3 linked regions of the Rhinolophus ferrumequinum genome follow. The protein of the gene in region 1 interacts with the protein of each later gene in a pairwise test. Links are inferred from orthologs where the notes say so. Each region holds a gene or a part of one and is shown in the gene's direction. Other genes may lie near its edges.

Region 1 (7,655 bases):
CCCGTCCCCACTAGTCCCCTCTGATTCGGTACCTTCGCCCCACCCCTAATCAAGCTGAAAGGAGTTGGCTTCAAGTGGCCGCATGAAGTCCTAGAGGGACACGGGTCGCGCTTTACCAGACTTCTCCTTTAGGCTTCTCCGGAATTGCTGTTCCGGACGCGACTGTTTCCAAAGTTCCAACAAGAGTGCATTGGGTTGTCAGTCTATTTTTTCCCGATGGACCCCTGCTGCCACGAGATCATGCCACATCTGTGCGCATGTTACTCTCTGAGGCCCGCAACCTCGCCGCTTTACTTTTGATTTGGGCTTCCAGGTCTCAACTGCGCGGACCTCCTGTCTTAACCTCCTTCGCCTCCGGCTTTCAACATCCCTTAGGGTGGCCATGGCAGTTGTAACTTCATGGATCCGTCGCCCCACATAAAGTGTAAGAATGGCAACCAAGGATCCAAAAGCACTCGCAGGTGCAGTATCCAAAATCAGATCTCTCATGCTGGCTGTAAAAAGCTCATCATCTAGCCACCGCATATTAGGGTTGAAAATAGCATGTCTCATACCCATTTCTTGGATGATTTGAGTAAGTTCTGTATATGACTGCCATTTACTCACAGTGTCAGGCAGCTCGCCAGCCTGTCCCCATACTGTGCGTACCGCAGCAGTGAGCCACTCCATTAGAGTGTGGTTGCCCTGGTCTTGGGCCAACCTATGGCAGTTCTGTAACCTTTGTCGCAGGGACGGATGCACTGTCACAAAGGCTAGCTTTTCCATCTCACCTGGGGAGCAGAGAATATTGTCTGCTCCCTCATCCCATAAACGTAATAGCCAAGCCGAGACTGGCTCTCCAGGGTGCTGTCTGTACTGCCTCCCCAGCTCCTGCAACTCAGTGGGAGTGTAAGGGGTGTAGGTTGTGAACTCATGGCAGCTGGGTTGCCTGTAGCAACGCCCCCGGGGAGCAAAGGTTGCTCACGTTTTACCCTTTGCTTCAAGATTGGCTGGGCTTGGGGGTTGGGAGCTACATTGTCTCCACTGGCTTCCTCCGCCTCTGCCTCAGAGTCTCCACCTTGGGGCCCCTCTTCTAACAGGCGGACCTTGGCTTCCAGTGCCTCCAACCGGGATACCTGGTCGGGCACCTGGGCCATTTCATTATGCGTATTTTCCGTGTTGAGACTCAAGGCTGTAAGGAACATCCAGCCCATGTGGCCGGCTGTAGCATTTGCCTCCTCCGACAACTGCTCAGCTAGAACCTGCAGGGCCCTCTCCACGCTGGCCAGAGAGCCGTCCATGTCCTCCCCCCCCCTCCTTGGGGGTACAACTCCTGAGAACAGTGGCCACCGGGCACCACACACTATGTGGGGGCCACACGTCCTCCTGCCCAGAGTCAGACTCCATTCCTACCTGGTCGGAATCCTACTTGCTGTGCCAGGTGTCTGGGTGGGTGGAGGCCTCTGTGTAAGATGTCCACAACTCTAGGAGCCCAGGGCAGCAGCAGACTACCAAAAGTAAGATGACACTTGCTCTGGCCAACACAGCAGCGTGCCATCCCGAGGTTTGAGTCTCCCAGGCAGACCGTGCCTCCCGTTCCCGGTGTTGCTCCTCACGGGCCTCCTGAGACTCAGTTTTCACACGCACAAACTGTTCCACCATCCTTCGGTAAGTTTTGGCTGGCACCACACCCTGCTCGCAAGGCCATTTGTCGTGCGAGGCGGCCTGCGGGGCCTCTAGTCCCGCTCTTCACATAAGAACGCAAGACATGGTGAGGCCATAAAGGAACACCCACAGAGCCATAGGTAGGGGAGTCATACCACTATAGTCTCACTGGCGGCACTGTAGTCTCACTGGAGGCTGGAATCACACGCCCTGCAACCTGCTGTCCACTTCTCTGTCTGCCAACCGACTGACTCTTCCAACCAACGCAGCCACGGCAGTTATATCAGTGGCTAATTGGCTAACTGGTTACAGCTGATGGCCAACTAACCACAGCTGACGGCCATCTACTACCTGAACCAGCACCTTTCCATGTGAGGCCGAGAGCCTGGAAACTGCTCTCTGGGACTCTGTCCCCACCCTGGGTCATATGGAAATTCTATACTTAACTTTTTTAGGAACTGCCAAGCTTTTTCCCACAGTGGCATCACCATTTTGCTTTCCCACCTGAAATGTATGAGGGTTCCAATTTACCCACATCCTCACCAACACTTGTTCTTTATAAAAAAAATTATAGGTGATAGATAGTAGGGGGTTTGGGGGCAGGGTGAAAAAGTGAAGGGATTAGGTACGAATTGATAGTTACAAAAGTCATGGAGATGTAAAGCATATGCAATCTAGTCAATAATATGATAATAGCTATGTATAGTGCCAGATGAGTACTAGTTAGGGGATCACTTCTTAACTTATACAAATGTCTAACCACTATGCTGTACACCTGAAATTAATATAAAATAATATTGAACGTTAACTCTAATTGAAAAATTTAAAAAATTAGGGAAATGGTGAAGGGGAATAAAAGGTTCAAATTTCCACATATAAAACAAGTAAGTCATGGGAATGTAATGAACAGCATGGGAAATGTAGTCAATAATATTGTGATAGTGTGGTACAGTCAGATGGTTTCTGGACTTATTATGGTGATCACTTCTTTAGGTATCTAGATGTTGAATAATTATCATGTAACCTGAAACAGATATAATGTTGTATGTTAGCTATATTTTTTAATAAAAAACTTTTTAAAAATTTAAAAAAATTATAGGTATCTTAGTGGGTGTGAAGTGGAATCTCCTTGTGGTTTTGATTTGTGTTTCCCTAATTGTTAATGATGTTGAGGATGTTTTCATGAGCTTCTTGACCATTTGTATTTTTTTATTTGGAGAAATGTCTATTTAAATCCTTTATCTAGTTTAACATTTTTGTTGTAGAATTGTAGGATAGATCCTATGATTTTTAAAATATATTCTGGATAGTAGATCCTTAGCAGATATATGATTTGCAAACTTCTCTCCCATTCTGTGGATTGTCTTTTCACCTTCTTGTTGGTGTTCTTTGACCCAAGAGTTTTTAAGTTTGATGAAGCCCAATTTGTTTCTTTCATTGCTTGTAGTTTGGTTTCATATTTAAGAAACCATTCCCTAATCCAAAATCACACAGATTTACACTTATGTTCTCTTTTAATAGTTTTAGAATTTTAGCTTTTACATTTACATCTCTGATCTATTTTAATTACTTTTTGTATATGGTTTGAGGTGGGGGGGTCTAAATTTTTAATATGTGGATATACAGTTGTCACATTACCATCTGTTGAAAAGATTATTCTTTTCTCCATTGAATGGTCTTTAAAACAATATATTTTTGGCATAAATACATACATATACAGATATTTTCTATTCTTTTCAATATTATTGATGTACTTATTTTTAAAGTTTATTTAATAATAAAACATTCATCTATTCAATAAATATTTACTGAGAGTCTTTGCTGCTAGCATCTGGGCATACAGATGTGAGTGGTACTGACACAGTGCCTGTCCTCACAGAGTCTGCATTCTGGAGGAGGGCACAGACAATGGATTAACAGAGAAAGGGACAAATAAAAACAGTTGCAAGTGAGAGTTATAAGAGGAAACAAAAGGGGGAGGTGGAGAATAAGGGTGTACTTTGGATCTTAAGGCCAACCAAGTCTTCCCAGAGGAATTAGAGACCAGCTGTGCAAAGATTCTGAAACTGTAAATAGTTTCGCCTTTTGGAAAAACTGGGAAAAAGATGGGGGCACTGAGATTGCAGAGGGCTAAAGTGGTGAGAAATGAGGGCAAAGAGGGAAAGGAAGGGAAGATCAGCAAGGCCATAAGAGAAATGGGGAGCACACAGTAGAGGAGCATAACTAGATTTGCATTTTTGGAAGACTATGAGAGACTGCCCTGTAGATTGGGTGGAGGGAGTGGTGGATGGAGGTTGAGGACCAGCCTATGGAGTATTTTCTTAAGAACTCTGAGTGAAATAGGGGTTTGGATCTCGGTGGCTGTGATATGAAAAATTGGAGGGACTCCAGATTCAATCTGGAGGCATGGGGTTAGGGGAGGGAGGCAGGGCAACAGCTGAATTGAGTCAACAATGAGTAACAGGGCTATGGTGTGAGATTGTGTGAAGTTTATTGGGAAGTGCAGTTGGAAGTGTGCGCAGAAGTCCAGTCAAGGAGGCCCTGTGTGCCAGGAAAGGATGTGGGGTCACTGCAAGAGAGGTCGGTGGCCAGAGGTCAGCAGTGGGATGGTTCGCAGTTTAGTCAGCTCCCTAAGGAAGTTGTCCAGCCCCGTTGTCAGGAACTAAATGTTCCAACCCTGGCTCTCCCAGTTCCTGGCTGTGCGATCTAGGTCAAGGGACTCGAGCTCTCTGTGCCTCAGTTTCTTCACACTTGTGTGAACGGTGCCAACTGCAATCATTAAACCAGATGAAACACGATTGCTCTAAGTCAGGCTAGCCTACTTCCCAGGTAGGGAATCAGACCTCAGCTCCCCAGGACTGGGATTGGCCCACGGTCCCCGGCCTCACGGAGCGGCCCTGACGTCACGCGGCCCAGTAGGCCCGCGCCCCGCCCCGCGGATCACGCGCACGCGCGGCTCCGGGTCGCGCTCCGCGCCGAGCTTTGGCGTCGATCCGTCGGGGCGGCCGCACGGCGTCGCGCACGCCTGGGCGGGGCACAGCGCGCTTCTTCCGAGCGGCGGCTGCGACGCCCCAGCTGGGCCCAAGATGGACCTCCCCGCGCTGCTCGCAGCTCGGAGCCCGCGCGGAGCCCAACATGGCGGCGGCGGCGGCCCCGGCGGACTCTGCCGAGGCCCGGGGCCGCCGCCCAATCCGAGTCCCGCGCGCCGCCGCCTGCTGCTGCTGCGGGGTCCCGAAGATGGCGGGTCGGGGCCGGGACGAGGGGAGGCCCGGGCGGCGGCTGCGGGCCCCGGGCCGAGCCCACCGCCCCTCGAGGACGGCGGAGAGTCCTTCGTGGTACTGCTGGAAGTACCGCGCAGCGCCGCTGCCGAGGCCCCCGAGCGGCGGGAAGCTGAGTCTGACTTCGGCACGAGCCCCGCCGGCGGCCCCCAGCAGGGCCCCAGCGGTTCGGCCGCAGCCCCGGGACCCAGCGCGGCCCTCGCGGGCACAGTCACCATCAGCAGTCAAGACTTGCTGGTTCGCTTCGACCACGGCGTCTTCACGCTGGCGGCCGCGCCGCCGCCGCCCGGCCCACCCGCGCCGCCGGGCGACGAGGCCGCCAGCCCGGCCGAGGGCCGCCGCGGGCCCCCGGCCCCCGGCCCCAGCGCACCCGGATACCGGTGTCCCGAACCGCAGTGTACGCTCTCCTTCGCCAAGAAGCACCAGCTCAAAGTGCACCTGCTGACGCACGGCAGCAGCCAGGGCCGGCGGCCCTTCAAATGTCCCCTGGACGGCTGCGGCTGGGCCTTCACCACCTCCTACAAGCTTAAGCGGCACCTGCAGTCTCACGACAAGCTGCGGCCTTTCGACTGCCCGGTGGGCGGCTGCGGCAAGAAGTTCACCACCGTGTACAACCTCAAGGCGCACATGAAGGGACACGAGCAGGAGAATCTGTTCAAGTGTGAGGTGTGCGCCGAGCGCTTCCCCACGCATGCCAAGCTCAGCTCCCACCAGCGCAGCCACTTCGAGCCCGAGCGGCCCTACAAGTGTGACTTTCCCGGTAACCGCGGGCCTGCGGGCGGGCTGCGGGGGGCTCCCGGGACCCCAAGTCCAAATTCAGGCGCTCAGAGTGGGTGCGGCGGCGCCCTGCCCCCGGCTGTTAGCTTGGGCAGGATTTTAACTCAGTGGGCCAAGGCTGAGGGGCGGGAGCGGAAGCGCGCCGGGGTCTGTGTTGTAGCTCTTCCCAGGGCATCTGAACCCTGCATTGCTGCGGGGGTTTCGACAGCGAGGTAGCACAAATAATCAGACGTACTTCCCCATGGTGGAGGCAACAGATGTGCCGACGGGGCTTCCGGTTAACGAAAGAAAGAACTGCACCTTCCCAGAGATTTTTTACCAGGTTTTTATTTTCCTCGGTCTCGTCACTTAAAAATACTCATCAGATATTTACGGGGCACACACTCGGTGCTAGAGGAAAACATGAATAGCCAGGTGTAAGACCTTAAAGTGGTGTAGTACAGTTTTTGTGCCCACTATGCTTTCCTTTGGACTTCACAGTTTCGTGAAGTTCTAGAAAGCATCCTCATTTCACAGATGAAGTGTCTGAGGCCTAGCAATGTGGAAAAAAATCCAGTGGTGGCTCTTTCTCTAGTGATTCCCTTCCATGCTGGGGAGATAAGGCTTCAACACTGAACTCTTCACCAGAATGGGCAGGTTTAGGTGCCCCAAGAAAGACAGTGCCTCTAGGGAGGAAGAGAAGATTTCTACATAGGAAGGAGTTGGCTTGGGGGGACTAGGGTAGGAGGCAGTGCAGGTGGGTGAAACTGCAGAGCTGAGGCAGGGAATGTGGGTTGTGTTTAGGGTGGGGGAGGGCCAAGCAGAAGGTGAAGGACCTTCTGTGGCCTCTTCATGAAAACAAAAAGGCAAGCGTGCCCTTAGCATGAGCCCTGTGTGTATTGACATGCTATATACACTCAGGGCTCTCCTAATGTATACGTTATAAAATATACTCTAGGGACTTTGAAAGAGTGAAATGAAAAATACTAACAGGTTCCAGTATTTTCTTCCCATGTGCTGTGAATTGTCTGGTGCGTTTTTGTGGGGAACGTAGCTTTAGGCCACTAATTGGAAACCTTTTTCAGTCATGTACTTGGGGATCTGACAGTGGCTTAAAAACTTCCCTAGTAAAATGCATAGAGAGGATGACTCTGACAAGATCAGGAATCCAGCCTGCTTTAGGGCATGAAGTCTTCCTGAGGATTTTGAGTTGGCTGATCAGTGTTCAAGATGGATAGAAGCGGGAGAGGGATCAGTGAAGCCCCATGGAATGTTCCAGATAAGAGTTTCTTGAGGACTGATCTAGGCAGTAGCAGTGGGAATGGTAAGGTGGCTCCGTGTAGGAAAGATGCAGAGGCAGAATCAAAGGGCTGGGTTGCAGATGTGGGGAGGGTAGTTTTCCAGCATGCTCAGATTTACCTGACTACACCAAAGCCTGAAACAGGGAAACGGGGGGTGGGGGGGGGGCAGATTTATGGGAAAGAGGATGATTTTAGGGCATTTAGGGAGATTAGCATTTCCCAGTTCAGTGTTGCTGGGAAGAACAGGGTTCCTTGGGCCAGTCAGTACTTTTATGTGGTGCTGTGCAGTGTGTATCTGCTGGGTGGTTTACGTTTACAGTCACTATGGTAGCATGTTAAATGCTCTTGAGAAGAGCTGCAACAAAGACACCTGATAAGCATCTTGCAGGTTGATATTTTCCAACTTATTTGAACACTGAATGTATTTGCCAAAGGAGAACCTACTGGTGTGGAAAGTAATAGGAATTGCTCAGGTAGGCTCCTTCGGCTGGTGGCTCAGCTGGGTGCTGAAGATATTGGTGATATGAGTGAAGATGACCCTGGTAACTTCCTTTGACAGAGCAGGGAACCCTGAGGTAATGGGCAAAAGGAAAAAGAGAAGCCAGATGACAGAGACAGGGGCTGCCAGTTGCAGAGGATGTCAGGGAGGACATTTATGAGTGTAGAGGTGGTGAAA
Region 2 (8,050 bases), on another chromosome or scaffold:
AGGAAACTCACATTCACACCTGACTCACAGTGCTTACACACCAATGCATTTCAACACAAACCTAGAAGTGAGAATTATTTCCCGGATGAATGAAGGTTAAATGATTTTAAATCGGTGAGTTTTGGCTCTTTCACATTTTCAGATTTTATTACCCATATGTTTCAGGCAATAGTAAAGACATTAAAAATGAATCCTTGAGTGTTTTAGGAGATGGGCTCCTTGCTACTTCTCAATCCTACTGTACGTGCTCAACAATAAGAGACCCAAAAGGATCTGACCACTGCTCTACACCAGAAACCTTTAAAACTTATTCTGGAGGATACTTCCGTCTTCTTACCTGTAAAATAATATTAATCCTTATGTCCTTCAAAAGAATGAACCGGGAAGTTATTTAATATCCACAGTTGTGGTCTGGAAATTATCCAGGACTATAATAAAATACAAACACTGCTAAATTAGAAAAGCATGTATCCTAGAGAAAAAAAAGAATTTTAATTAAATTTTACTTTGCAATCTATTATAATGAACAAGCCACATAACAAGTGTGTCTGTAAAGGAAGCCAATTCCTTTTTCCATGAAGCTGTATGGAATCAATTCAATTACTTTATAATCATACCTGCTCAACTCCACAGCAACAACCTAGATATATAGCTTTGCTAATGGGTGTCTCTTTGATAATATTAATTTAATTCAAAGTTTAACTAAATCATTATCTCCCATGAAATCATACCAAAACTTACAGAGAAATCTTGATGACTGATGCAGTTGCTGCTCCTGTGTTTCTTGCAAAATATATTTTGAAGACGGAGACCTTCAATTGCTTCTTACTGAAGTCTCATGGGGAACTCTTCTTTTAAATACCCAGTCTGAAAGTTCCTCTGGCTATTTCTCACCTCCTGAGAATTTTCTGAGCCCCTAGAAAAGTCCTCAACTCCTCTAAACATAAGGAGGCAGCAAATGATTTACTTAAATAAAATCCAGCAGTAGTCCCCGAATTCCCCGTTGTTTATTTGACACCTGGTCAAACACAGATCTTCACCTGCCCTTTATTTCATGACAGTTTCCCTGCTAAGCAAGGCATTTCGGAGTCCTCCTTTCCACCCCTATGTGTTGATTTCTCTTGACTCCCAGGCTCAGTGCAATCTGCTGTCAACCTTTTTGAGCTGGGAGATGCTCAGATAGTGAAGATTTCGCCACTGTTTTTCTAGCTCTGAGGTCTTCCCAAATGAGTAGCTCCCTTTGAGCGCCTGGTTTCGACGACCCTGAGTGTGTGTTGTAGGGAACAGGATGCTGGTTTGTAAAGGAAACTTGGCATTCTCTCCCATGGAGCTGTTTTCTGCCTGGACTGACCTCACAATCCTCACAATCAGGTGACCACCCTGACACCTACCTGTCAACTTGACACTGAATCTGAGCAATCAGTGGTTGGGTCTGTATATTAGCAAAATGACAGCAGAGGGCCCCCATGGTTCACTGCTTTTGAAGACATGCTGAAATAATTTGTCTTTCTGCCTTGACACTCTCCAAGCTACAGGTGGTTCCAATTTTCAACTCGTGGCAGAAACCATAAGCCAAGGAAGCAAATAAGTGTTTCCATAAACGGTAGAAAAGAAATACTCTCCTGCTACCTACCTGTGAGATGCCCAACTTGGTACTTCCATTAACTTTTGACCTTCTTTCTAAGAAACTCATAAGGAGAGGATTCAATTTTTCTAAGTTGGCTACTGAAGACTGGGGTAGCTTTTCAGCAGCAGTATGGGGTTCCATTTCTTCAATAGGCCAGTCTGGATTGGCTTTCAGAGTCCTCCCCATTATGTTATAGAGGCGCACGCGAATGGATTTCTAAGGATTCCATCCAGGTCGTTGGTTCTGCTGCTTTGGTTTCCCATGAGTACCAAGATGGTTCAAACATAAGAGCGATCACAGCTATCAGTTCTGTTACTTCACTCTAGAAACTTGTGTGTTAGCTGAAGACAGGAACATGTCCCAGCTCTGTCCAAATTAATATGGGCATTCCCTCCTTAGCATGGGGAATACGTTTCTGGAAATGGGAACGCTTAGAGATGGTGCTCCAGTGTGCAAGGTGATAGAGTTTTCTTCACATCCTCTGAAGTTATACATGACTCTGCCCCAGCCATTCGACGATTGATAAGTCCTCCCAGACTGGAGCACAGTTGGGGGACGTTTTATAATGTCAAAGAGTTTACTCCATTCCCTGATTGTTCACCTTTACCCTGTTTCCCCAAACTTGTTCCTCAAAGGTATCTCCAGTCCCTGCAAAACTCCCATGTTAACATTCAGCACAATATTCTTTCTTTATTTCTTTGTGGCAGGCATAGCACCATCACTCACACACACTTTGTTAGCCATTACATGTCAAAACTGTCTCTCAGGGCACAAACTACATCATAGAAAAACGGGTCACAGAGTAGTAAGTCCCCAGCTCCCACCCTGGTCCAGGCCACCAACGTGTCTCACCTGCATTATTGTACTTGCCTCCCAACCTGGCTCTCTGTGGCTATCCTTGCCCCTACCAGTTTTTCTCTAGAAGCAGCGAGAATGATCCTTTAAAAGTGTTAGCCAGGTCATGTCAGTTCTCCGCTCAAAATCTTCCAATGGCTTCACTTCACTAAGAGTAAAACCTGAACTTGGTTTCACTTTCTTTAGATCTGTGCTCAAATGTCACCTTAATGACGAAGCCTCCTCCAACCACCCCACATAAAAATAACAATTTCCCCATCCCCTTCTTCAAAATCCCAATTCCCCCTATCCTGCCCTGTTCCCCATCTACAGCATCTATCATCACATCACATTTACATATTTATTTACAGAATGTGTGGCAGATCACTTTTTCCAAGATGGCCACAACAAGATTTCCCATTCCACACACTTTTCTGACCATGTGATGTTTCTACCACTCCCTTTGAGAGATGTTCCCCACCTGCCTTGAATTGGGGTGAGCCTGTAACTGTGGTGGAAATGATGTTATGTGACCTCTGAGGTTAGGTCACAAAAAAACCATGCAATCTCTGCTGGGTCCTCTCGGACCACACAATCTAGGAACTCAGCCACTATGACATGAGGAAGCCCCGGCCACAATGAGATACCAACAGCCAGCTGTTCTGGCCAACAGCTCTAGCTGCAATCCAAGCCAACAGTCATCAACTTCTAGACTTTTGAGGAAGCTTTTGAGATGACTTCAGCCCCAGCTACTGCCTGAGACTCCAAGTGAGAACTGCTTAGCTTAGCCTAATCATCTCCCAGAGCCATGAGAAATAATAATAAAATTGTTTTAGTTCTAAGCCAGTAAGTTTTGGAGCCATTTATTATCTAACAATAGATATCGGAACACTTTGTTTCTGTGTTGGTGCAAAGGTAATTGCGGTTTTTGCAATTATTTTTAACCTTGTAAACCGCAATTACTTTTGCACCCGCCTAGTATATTGTATGCCTCTCCTCACTAGAGGATGTTTCATGAGTTTAGGGATTTTGTTTGTTTTCTTTATTGCTGTATTCCCAGAACATAGAACCATACCCGGTATATAGCAAGTACTCAATAAATAATTGTTGAGTGAATGGATGCAGGATGCATTTTCAGTATGGTATGTGAAAGGTTATTGGTCAACAGTGTGTGGTCCAGTCTGTTGGGCTAGGCCTCATTGGCAGAGAGCGTAAGTTGGCACTTACAGCGTGGCAAAATATATGTTCCAACAAGACTACTTCAGAGGCAAATTACATTATAATAAGTTACAATAATTATTGCAGGAAAGCATAGAATGGGATTAGAGCTTCATGTAGAATTTGTCTTCTGCTGATTGATTCCATAATCTTACCCTAGGCTTCTCCAGATCAGGTCTGGAAAGGCTTCAGAAGTATTTTCAAAAGGATTAGTGCTTCTTTCCCTTCAGATAATGAAGTTCTTCTGAGAATGACCACGGAAAATCACTCACGTTTTTGGTATGAAATGGGATGAAGTGGAATAAGAACGGATGGTGGTATGGGAACTCATGTACATGGGTGTGCAATGTGGAAGGCCCCCTTACACTGCTTATTTTCCTAGTCTGGTGGTTTGAGTGCAGTGTGTGTGTTAACAGAAGGAAGAAATATGGTTCTGGATCTCCCCAACCTCGCACCAAGTACTGGATTTAGCATTTGGATTGGAGCAAATGTTTGTGTATTGCTTAGAGAGCAACATCCTCCTCAAATAGCCAAGGAAAATATTAGCGTTTTATCATCTCGGAAGGTAAGAAAGGACACATTTTCTTAGTTTCCTGGAAAAGAGGTTAGTTTTTGTCTGGGGGAAAATAACAGGTGGATGGTCTTGAATGGACTAAGCAATTTCTTTGGGCCAACCTACCTCAGCCTTGATTGAAGCAAAAAGCACAAATGTGGAGTCTATGGTTTCTTAGAATGGAGGGTCTTAGCTGAGTCTATTCACAATGGTTTCAAAGCAGTTTTCACACAAGAATCACCCTGATAAGCAATCATGTGTGGCTTCTTTTCAGAATCCAGAAGGGTTCAGGGTAAAATGGCTTTTAAAAGTTCTTCACTTCTGGCTACTACCATAAGGCTAATTGATTGAATCTCTTGAGGAAGTGTGCCATTTTGCTGCCTTTGTTCAAATGACAGTTGTTGGTGCCATTGGGCCTCACCATCTGGCCTGTGGCATGAGGTTCCCTTCTTGATTAGGTACAAGCCTTGGGTAGAAAGTGGGGAGATGCCCAAAATTTCCCTGGAAAGTCCAGGCAAGTGAATTGGGGAATATTTTCTTTGGAAATCCCATTATTCTAACCAAAATTTAGATATGGCTTCTGAAGCTAATTATTATTTCATTTAAAAAAAAAACAAACTGTTTTTATTTATTTATTTATTTGCAGGCCCAGGCAAACTTGACTAGAAAAGAAGCCCGGGCAGGGGTTAGGATGAGCCCATGACGTCCCCGGCGCCCCAACCAATTGAAAGGCCACGAAAAGGGGAGGGCGGAAGTGACGAGCCGTATCCCTCCGCGGGGCGAGAGGGTCGGTGGGGGGAGTCGGCGTCTCTCTCCCCCGCGCCAGCTCCCGTACACGGAGCCGCATTCCTTGGCCCCCCCACCCCCCTCCCTCGGGGCCCCCCGCCCCCCTCGGGAAAAAAAAACCACCTCAAATCACTCGAACCCGAGGGAGGTTTCCTTGCACCCTCAGGGAGACGAGCTTTGAACGGTCCCCTCTTTCCCTTCTTCCCCCCAAACCCCCGTTCCCTCCCCTGCTCCCACCCCCTTCTCCCGGCGCCGGGTGTAGGTCCCTTTAAGGCGACGGCGCCTTCCTCGGGTCAGACTACCGGCGGCGACGACCACGGGAGGTGAGTGAGCGAGAGCGCCTTCTCTCTCCCCACCCCCTTCTCCCGGGGGTTCCGTTATCTTTTCGCTCGGCGAGGCGTTCCGAGGCGAGACAATGAGAGGGGGATGGGGCGGCTACGCGAGGGGTGGGGGCGGGGGCCGGTAGCGCGCGCCCCCGCCCCCCTGTGAGTGGCGGCGCGGCCCGCGGCGGCGGGCGTGGGGTGCGGCGCGCGAGCGCGTGTGTGAGTGCGTGTGCCCCGCGAGCCGCGAGAGCCGCGCGGCGGACCGGGCCGCGGAGGCCCCTGCCTGCCTGCCTGCCGGCGCCCCCGCCCCCCGGCGCCCGCCGCGGCGCGCGCGCGCGCACTCGCGCCCCACGGCCCCGCACACACCCGACGTCCACACGCACGCCCGGCGCGAGGCGTCTCGGAGGAGTGGGCGGGCGCGGGCGCGGGCGGCTACCCGCTGGGGAAGGGGCGGGGGCGCTGGCGGCGGCGAGACGGCGGGGCGCGGCGGGAGGGCCGGGCCAGGGGGCGAGGCCGCGCCGGGGAGGCGGGCGGGAGGGGCGGCGGGGTGACGTCCCCGGGGTGGGGGAGTGCTCGGCCCCCCGCGCCCCCCGCACCCCGGGGAAGGAGTGGGGCGCTCTTTTTGAGCGCGAGGAGGAAAAGGAGTGATGGCTTAGCTGCTCCCCTGTGTTATGTAATCTCCACTCGGTCCGATAGTACATCCCAAGTCTTAGTTCACTGCAGTTACTTTCCCCAGTCTCCTCCCCCGGCCCCCAAATTTCTTTGGGATGGCGCCGTGATTTATAAAATGGGATGAGGCGGAAAAAAAATCTATTTTCCGATTATTATATCCTGCCGCGGTGGGCGCCATGTTTATTCTAGGGACTATTTTCTCTGGATTCTTAGCACCTATTGAAAAGGAGTGATGTTGATCCACCTGCTTTCCCTCCTTTCTGCGAGTTGTCCTGGTGTCTTCTCCCGTTAGACGCGGGATTCCCTCCAACTGTTGATGACACGTTTCTCTGCTCACTAGTCGTGGACATTCTTTGCTCAGAAAAAGGTAGAGCTGAAGAGCCTTGTAAATCATTGAGCCCAGTCTCATTTTTGAGGTGGAAATGGAGGTACCAAATTGAGGTGGTACAATCTCAGAATAGCCTTCTACCCTATGTAGACACCTCCCCCCGGAGCTCAAAACCCCACGTAACATACCAGCTATGTTGAAGGTGTATCTCAAACTAAAGGAGCTAACAAGGATGATTCTTAGCATGAACAGAATGGAGTTTTACTCTCAGGAATTTTCACACCTAGATGCAGGGGAAAGGAGGGGCTACAGAGGGCTGTTTCTTGGTGAAGGACGTTGAATTTCAAGACATACTGCTCTTCGGTCTGGAGGTTGGACTTTGAATTCGAACCACTTAGCACAAAAGTTAATTTCGGGGTGCATAAAAAGTACCTTAGAGATTGCCAAAAAGTGCAATTTTGGGGACCGCATCCCCAAGTCTGTTTGGGTGTGATGGGGAGGGAGGTGTCACCTCTACATTTTTAATCGGCCCTCCTTCAGCTGAGACTGATTAACGTAACTACCACATAGAGAACTATTGGTGTAGCATAAAGGTACTCAAAATAGAATCTTTAAACAGAATTAAATTGCAATCTGTGCCCTTGATTTCCTGCCCCTTTCCTATATTATGGTTATAACATACCAGCTATGTTGGGGGTGTGTCTCAAAACTAAATAAACTAAGGAATGAAGACTCTTGAACAGGATTTTGGTAGTGTTTCCATTCTCAAACTAAAGGAACTAACAAGGATGATTCTTATACCACCTTGAACCAGTGGTATAATTTAGGAAAGCGGTTCTCAAAGTGTCCACTGACACCTGGGGACCCCCTCATACCCTTTCAGGGGAGCTGTGAGGACATAACAATTTTTAGAATGACACTAAGACACTATTTTCTTCGCTGACGTTTGCACTCGTGGTCCAAAAGCAACTGGCGGTGCCTTAGCATAAAGCAAAGAAGTGGTGTGAAACTTGTACTTACTTGAGAATGTCCTTGATGAAGCAGTAAAAATGATTAATTTTATTAAATCTCAGCACTCGAGTACATCTTTTTAATTTTTTAAGAATCTATGATAAATTGGGAAGTGCGGGGTTGGAAAATTAAGTTTGCGAACTTGTTGCAACAAGGTGGCTAACCTTTTTTTGATATCAGAAGGATCATTCATTATGAATTTTACACAAAAAGCACTTATACTGCCTTCCAGGGTATGATCGTTGACTTGTGAGCTGAATGTTTCATGGAACAGCATTTTTACTTGAAAGAACGATTGACAAGCTAGTTTTTTACACTTGAGTGCGTGACGGATGTTTTCTTGAAAAATTAATGAAGTGAGCTTGTTACTTCCAGGAAAACAGTTGACAGTATTTGTTACCAATGATAAAAATTTGAGGGTGAAAATTAGAATTCTTTAAAAGTTGACATCTCAAGTTTGACAGTTTCCCAGTATTTAAAACTTTTCTTATAACAGCAACGTGAATGACTGTTTTTTTTAATTATTGTATAATGATGCATGTCAACATTTGGAAGATGGGCATAGCTCAGTAAATATGTATTTTCCAAATGACCTGTGCATGATGTTTCAGAATCACCATGGGTAAAAAATCCTTTGAAAATGCAGGATACACCAATGGATTTTAATATAGCAAAGTACAAAAAGTTAATTGATAGGG
Region 3 (7,046 bases), on another chromosome or scaffold:
GAATATGCAGGGACGGGGTGAAAGAACAAGGTCAAGTCCCAGCTCTTACTTGCCACGTGGCCCTGGGCAAGTCACTGAGGCTGTCTGAGCCTCCATTCTCCTCATCTGTAAAATCAGAATAGCTTTCAACTAAATCCCTGTTGGGGATTTAAGGGGACTGTATTTAAAGCCCTTGGCAAGTGAAAGGCACACAGTAGGTGCTCAGGAAGAACAGCTGCAGTGGTTTTTAATAACAAGGACAAATGGAAATAGTTTGATGTGACAGGGGAACACAGGTGGCATACTAGCAGCCAAATTTATATTCCTTAAAAATGCCCCTCCCAACCACTGTTGCTCAACCCCCCCTATCCTCACTACCCCCAAAAAATCTGAAGCCTTTGAATAAAACCCCTTGGCTTTGGGGGGCCTCTGATTTCCACCTGCCAGACATAGGAGCTGTTTCTTTTGCACTTGTCAGGACCCCTCTCTAACCAGGGGGATAAAAGCCCAGGCCGGCTGGGGAAGGGATTTACAGACCAGATCGGAACAGGTGGGGCCTGACTTGGGAGGTGGGAGCTGCATTCCAGGGATTCCTGCTCCAGGACACCGGGCTTGACTGGTGACCGGAACACCCAGCACTGCCTGGAAGGGCCGTCCAGGGCTTCCAGACCTGGAGTCTGGTGGAAGCTGAGGGCAAACAGATTTCGTTGTGGGGACTTTGAGGCAAGTTAGGATACGTTTAAATCCAACAGGAAGTGAGAGCGAACATTCCAGGATTCATTCATTGGGAAGGTCTTTATTAAGCACCTACTGTGTGCCTCTCCGAGCAGTCAATGTGGCCTGGACAAGCTGACCCTGCTCCCACGAGTCAGCAATAGTGAGGGGGGTGGACAAGTGAAGGGACCCTGATGACGGCCAGGGCACAGGCAGGGCCAGGAAGGGAAGGGACAGAAGCAGCATGGGAGGTGGCCTAGGGCTGAGCCTGGGGACCTTGAGGAAGGGACAGGGCAGGTCCGGGCTTCCCTGCAGCTGAGGGACTGCCTGAGGTGGGGGTTTTCAGTTCTAAGATGGACTGTGCCAGGCACACGGGGCCGCTGGTCACCCTGGTCTAGGGCAATCTAGAGGGGTCACCTTAGAGAGGGGGGTATCAGGAGGGGAGCTGATGCAGGGGAAATGAGGCTGGGGGTGCTTACTAGTGGGTGGGAGGGAGAAGGGAGCAAAGGGACGGGTCCACGGTGGAGGGGTACACACTGGGTGAAGGCCGTGGGAGGAGAGAATTCGAATTAGGAGAAACCCCAGAGTCGATGGCAAGAGTTGATGCATTCTTCCTGTCTAACCTGCTCTTTCTGTACCTGGGCAACTGAGGCCAGGGAAGACAGAGAAGGATGGTGGCAAAGTTAGAACTAGAAATGGCTTTCTGGATACCAGAGTAGGGAGTGGCCAGCTGACTCAGCTCCCTGAAGGCCCACTGGGACAGAGGGATGGTGAGCAAAACACCTGTCCTCATGGACCCTGAAGGGGTGTGGAGGAAGGGAAAGCAGAGCCTGAGGAGGGGACCTGGGGACGCATATCTCCCAACCAGCTGCCCTGGCGTAGTTACCACGGGAAAAGGAACTTAACACAAAGCCCCACTGACCTGGGCCGGCGGGAGCCTCTGGGTCTCCAGGCAGCGTCAGCAGCAACCTGGAATGATGGCCCAGCGTAGGCGGACTGTCCAGTGTAGAAATCTGGTGAACAACTCCTGGAAGCTCTGAGTGCTGGGCATCCTGTGTCCCTCGTCTTCCAAGACCCTCCCTCATCAACTGCCATCGGAATCCAAAGCTGTGGGCTTGGCAATTAAAGGGCCAGTGCTCCCCACCCAGCTTGCTGCCTGCTGTGGGGACACCACAGCATTTGTGACATGTGGTCTGTTCTTCTGCCACCTCCTGGCCAGTGCTCTTGAGTTTAGCAGTCCAATGTCCCTGATGAAATATTTATCACTGGATAACTAAAGATGGCTTTTCAAAAGCTTCAAGTCCCATGAGAAGGTAATGTACTTAATTTAAGCTCTGCCACCGCCATAGAGCCTCCCTGACTATTCCTGTTGACACAGGTTGCTCTCTTCTTTCAACCGTCATCACTTGCTTTTCACTTATTAACTCATCCATCATCCATCCATCCACTATACATCTATGCATCCATCACCCATCCATCCATCCATTGATAAGCATCACTGTATATTGTGTAGTCGGGTGGTTGGGCGTGCAGGCTCTGCCTTGATGTCCAGGGTTGTGCCTGCTGCATGGGGGTCCTTGGGAAGCTTCTTAACCTCTCGGAGCCTCCATTTCTTCATTATCAAAAGGAATAAAGGCACCCCTTTTATAGGCTTGTTGTGAAGGTGCAAGGAGATGACATGTGACAAACTTACTGGAGAACTGAGCATACAGGTCCTCCTCCTCCTCCTTTTCCTTCTGTCGTCCTGTGACACCTGCCAAGAGTGCTGTGAGGAAGACTCCAACCCAGCTCAACCAGGAGACACTGAACCAGCAATCACAAAGAAAGATGAGCGTTTCCACTGGGAGGATATGGAGGCGGGGGGAATGTAGCCAGGAAGACTCACTAGTTTTGGGGATCAGAGAAAGAAGCCCAAGCGGACATTGGCTGGGGCGGGAGGAAGGCTCTCAGAAAGAGAGCCTGGAGGAAGGACCTGGTTGAGGGGAGAGGGTGCCCAGAGAGGTTCATATTGTCTGGTTGATGGCGCAGCCTTGAGAAATGTCGTATCTATAAAAATTGTTCATGAAAACACATTCATTTTCCAATTCGCTCCCATTGGCCAAAGCACAGTTAACGTTCTGAAAAAACAAATCTCCAAAATGCTTTCCCCTTCTCTGTAGTTGTTATGCTTTGTTCAACTTCCATTCATGATTTTTCTGAGTCTGATAACATCTTAGGAGGGATAGAAAAGGGTTTAAAACTTAGACAAGTTTTTAAAGTTTTTGTTGAATTGCTTTACCTGCTGTATTGTTGTCAGGATTTTCCTTATGACTGCAGGAATGGATTGAAAAAACACTCCACAAAGTTAGAGGATTTTCTCATTTTTGCTGGAGGTGAGACCAATTTACCTGGGAATCTGGTTTGAGTTCTGTGGTCAGGACCCATGTCTTGCTCCCCCTGCAGGGTTGGAGGACTGGGAAATATATTATACTTTGGATCTGGGGCTGAAGCCTGGGGTGCACAGTTTGGGGGTGGTATCAGGCTAGGCGGGGAGGCCCGTCTGGTAAATTCCATGGCAGAGTTTGGATTTGGACCCGAAGGCAATGGGAAGCCAGCTCTGAGTCTTAAACCAGCAGGTGACAGATCAGAGGTGGCGTTTTAGAAGTTCTGACTGCTTCAGAGAGGTTTGAAAAAGGCCAGTTGGGAGGCGGAACCAAGGCAGGCAGGTGGATGGAAGTGCCCCCTCTTTATGACTATGGAGATTTGGTTACCTGTCTCACGCTCCAGGGTACTGGCACAGGTGAATAGGCCTCCTGGGCACAGAGATCCACGGAGCTGTGCTGGGGCCAGACAGGGACTTTGCTGCCCCTGCGTCCTCCTTAAAGTGGGGGCTTTCAGACTAGCTACCAGTCTTGGTGCCCTTGTCTATAACAACCACACACCTCACTTCCCTGGACATTTCCATTTTCAATGCTCTGTCCTTTTGTCTGCACACTTTCCTGTGTCATAATCGGTGTTCCCATTTTTCATTGGGAAATAAGAGACTGCATGTTATTGTACCCAGGGCTTGGGTTGAGGCGTGGAGGTCAGACCCTGACCACCCCCAAGACTCTAAGACCGATATGGTAGCAGAAGTGGGGCGGGGCGGTGAGAATGCACAGGACTTAAGGCCAGAACAGCGGCTCCAGGTTCTCCTTACGCCCTCGAGCCTTCCTGTCTGGGCCGCCCCTTCCACATTCGTAACTGGAGGTGATGATACCTGTGTGTGACATCACCTTGCAGACAGCAGCGCAGTCTGCATGCAGTGACTGTTCGTATTGGCTCTCCTTGTAGGGGGCCTCAGGAGAGAAGCAGGTGCGCCGGGCGGGCTCTCCGCTGAAGAGGCAGGAAGACCACCAAGCAGGCAGCCCGCCCTGCGGGAGAGCGGGTGGGCGGAGTGCCGGCATTCGGGACCTTTTGGAGCTCTGGGTCCTCCCAGCAAAGTGGGAAGGTAAGGGTCCCCGTCTACTGAGGTGTCCAGACCATTAATGGAGACACTCCGCGGAGAGGAAGGCCAGGGCAGGGCCGGGCTCTGAACGCTGCGGCTCCCATCAACAGGACGGACGCGATCCCAGAAGAAACATTGGGGCCCTCGCTGGCCCTAGGTTCCCGGAGGGGAGATCTGCTCCTCCTTGGGAGCGTCGCTACAGGGCGAGCTCAGGATGTGAGCATTCGAGGGACACACTAGCACTTTTCTGTAGTGTCTTTATACTTCAGTGTGTAGAAAGTGCAGGCGAAGAACGGCCTGCACCGGCCACCTTTGGGGTTAACGCTTTTAAGCAGGAAGCGCGCGCATCACGCTGTCCCTTTAAGGCGTTGGACGTGCCCGAAGCATTCTGCCCCTCGCCGCTCCCCGTAGCGCCCCTCCGAAAGGCCGGCTTTGTGCTCTTGCCCCGCCCCAATGCCGCTCCGGTCCCTCGCGCACGCGCACGCGCACGCGCACTGCCGGCCCAGTGCCGCCTCGTCGAGCTCGGCCTGGCTCCCGCCCAGGCGGCGGCTGATGCGACTCCCGGAGCGCCCGCTCCCGCCCGCTGCGGCCCGTCAGGTAAGCGGGGGCCGCCCGTCCTGCGGACACGCGCATAGGGTGGGGGGCCGACGCCGCTGCACCCCAAACCGCCGCCTCCGCACGTGTTCCGGCGGGCTCGGCCTCGGCCCGGGGTCCCGGCCTGCCGGGGCCACTCGGTGCAGACGCCCCACGGGCCCACGCCGCCTCGCTTTCCGGGTATCTGCCCTGAGCCCCGCCGGCACGGCCCCCTCCGCTTACCGGAGCCCCGCCCGCGGAGGTCCCGTTCTGCTTCTCCAGACGGATCCCCAACGGTTCCCGGGACTCCCGGCGCTCATCCATGCGGCCGGTCCTCAATGGTCTAATGACAAGCCATCAGCCAGGGGGCTGCGACGTCTCCCTGCAGCCAGCCCGCATCGCCCCTTGTCTCCGCGGCTTCTCCCAAGGAAGAGCCCAGACCCACCCGGGCCAACGGCGCCTGGACGGGGCGCGCAGACTCGTCTGCCTCCTGCAGAAACGCCCCTGCCCCGACCCGCTGCTCACGCTCCGTCGAGGCAGCCAGGCCTTCGCTCTCCCGAGAGCCCGGGGTCCCAGGATGGGGTCCCTCGGGTGCGGGCCCGCTGTCAGGAAGGGAGAGACGACTCCGGCCTCGCTGAGGTTTCAGTCCGGTCCGCTAGAGCCATCTTGGGTGATGTGAAAAGATGCGCCTGGCCGTGCTGTTTCTTCCTCCTCATGTCCATTTACCAACCGTGTGGCAGGTGTCGCGCCCGACGCTGCCTCCCAGGTTGGCCCGGCTCCATAGAACGATAGGTGAGCTAGAATGGAAGCGTGTGTCCCAGGACCCAGGTGGGGCTGGCCACCTTCTTGTCCCCAAGTTACCTCTTGTTTTCCCACATCTGAGGGCCCAGTCTCGGGAGTGGAGCCCAGGAATCTGCTTTTTACAAGGCGTCAGGAGAGCACTCCAAGGAGTGGGCGGCCGGGCCCTGGGTGGTTAGGGTCACCTGGGTGCACACCTGTGCGTCCTAAGGGGGCAGGTAGCGTGTGCCCTGGAGGGGGACTCCAAATTGTTCCCGCTCACCGCAGACCCTCCTTCCTACGGAGCCAGTCCCTAACCAGCCTCCCAGTTGCCTCAAAACAACTGTTGCAGACTCACCTGAATGTTCATGAAAAAGGTCACGCTTCCCCTTCCCCCTTAGGTAGAATCTTGGGGCATTGAGACCAGAAATCTAGTTTTAGGAGTCCAGCTGATTTTTGCCTGTTAATGTTTTGCTAGCGCAAGCGGTGGGTGGGTTGGGCTGGAGCGGGGAGGGGTTGGGCACCTGTTAAGACCACCGATTTGTATTCCCTGGTCCTCACCCGAGGACAGCCGGTTTTGCCCTGCCTCCTGGTGGGTCTCAAGTTTTAAAAGGAAGCTGCTCTGTGCCTCCTGAACTGCCCGTGCACCCTAAACGAAGCCTCTTCTGTTCCCACTGGTGCTCCTCCGGGCACCCCACGGGCCACCTGTCTCAGCCCTTGCCTGGTCTGGCTCCCTCAATGCCGGGTTCTGTGAAGCAGACTTCCAGCTCTCTTCCCTAGCCCTTCCCTTCGCTGCCCTTGGCCAGCTCACTTAGGAAGGCGGCACTGGGGCTAAGGATAAGCACCGTGCAGCTGGCATTTACTGAGCATCAGCTGTGTGCCAGCACGTTGGCCCCTGGCATGTTTACCCAACCTGCCCCTTCTCTCTCCACTCAAGTACCGGGGCTTTGGGCGCAGTGGGATCCGTCTTGCTCCAGGTAAACAGCCATGTTTGCCCGTGGGCCCTGCACAGCTGTGCTACGTTGTTATTTGTCTCCCTCCCCTCTTGGATGAAGACGTTAGGCGTGCTCTTTTTTGTGTGTGGCTTCCATTTCACCTTGGTGTGAGGCGGGGTTTGTGCAAGCTTTCAGTTTGAAGCTCCAAGTGAAAATTCCCAGTGTATAAACTTATTAAAGATGGTGCCAGCTCCAGGAGCCGGACGGCCAGTGATAGTTGCAAGAACGTCTTGGTGGCTCTCCTTTTAAATAACGCTTCCCCTACTTGCAGAGTTACCTAGTGTGCTGTGCGGTATGTCTACGGAATGGAACCTGTTCCTGTGAGAGGAAACAGTCGCTTACGCACAGCTTTTGGGTACTTGCCGCTGTCAGTGGTGAACCCTAATTGAGCTGCAGTCTTTCCCCTCCTCTGCAGCGTCTTGCTTGCACAGGATCTGTGCATAGTTCAGGCCTCAGCAGGCAGGCCTGGCTCTGGTTTGGGCTGTCCGGCCGAGTCTCGTGGTTGCCTCACCAGGACAGAGAGCCTTTCGAGCTGTTGGCGT

Evidence for each region.
Region 2: the proteins of ZXDC (region 1) and POGZ interact in binary tests that used the Homo sapiens proteins (3 or more experiments, as listed by UniProt). The link is inferred for Rhinolophus ferrumequinum from reciprocal best matches to the Homo sapiens genes ZXDC and POGZ.
Region 3: the proteins of ZXDC (region 1) and WDR5 interact in binary tests that used the Homo sapiens proteins (3 or more experiments, as listed by UniProt). The link is inferred for Rhinolophus ferrumequinum from reciprocal best matches to the Homo sapiens genes ZXDC and WDR5.

Annotation. Positions count from the first base shown.
Region 1 is NC_046302.1:3,197,916-3,205,570, forward strand, and holds the start of ZXDC (zinc finger protein ZXDC), read left to right. Parts: upstream 1-4,652; 5' UTR 4,653-4,730; coding exon 4,731-5,682; intron 5,683-7,655. UniProt on the Homo sapiens protein: Cooperates with CIITA to promote transcription of MHC class I and MHC class II genes.
Region 2 is NC_046305.1:51,432,365-51,440,414, reverse strand, and holds the start of POGZ (pogo transposable element with ZNF domain), read left to right. Parts: upstream 1-5,002; 5' UTR 5,003-5,341; intron 5,342-6,239; exon of another isoform or gene 6,240-6,380; intron 6,381-8,050. UniProt on the Homo sapiens protein: Plays a role in mitotic cell cycle progression and is involved in kinetochore assembly and mitotic sister chromatid cohesion.
Region 3 is NC_046295.1:81,292,526-81,299,571, forward strand, and holds the start of WDR5 (WD repeat-containing protein 5), read left to right. Parts: upstream 1-4,006; 5' UTR 4,007-4,162; intron 4,163-4,601; exon of another isoform or gene 4,602-4,756; intron 4,757-7,046.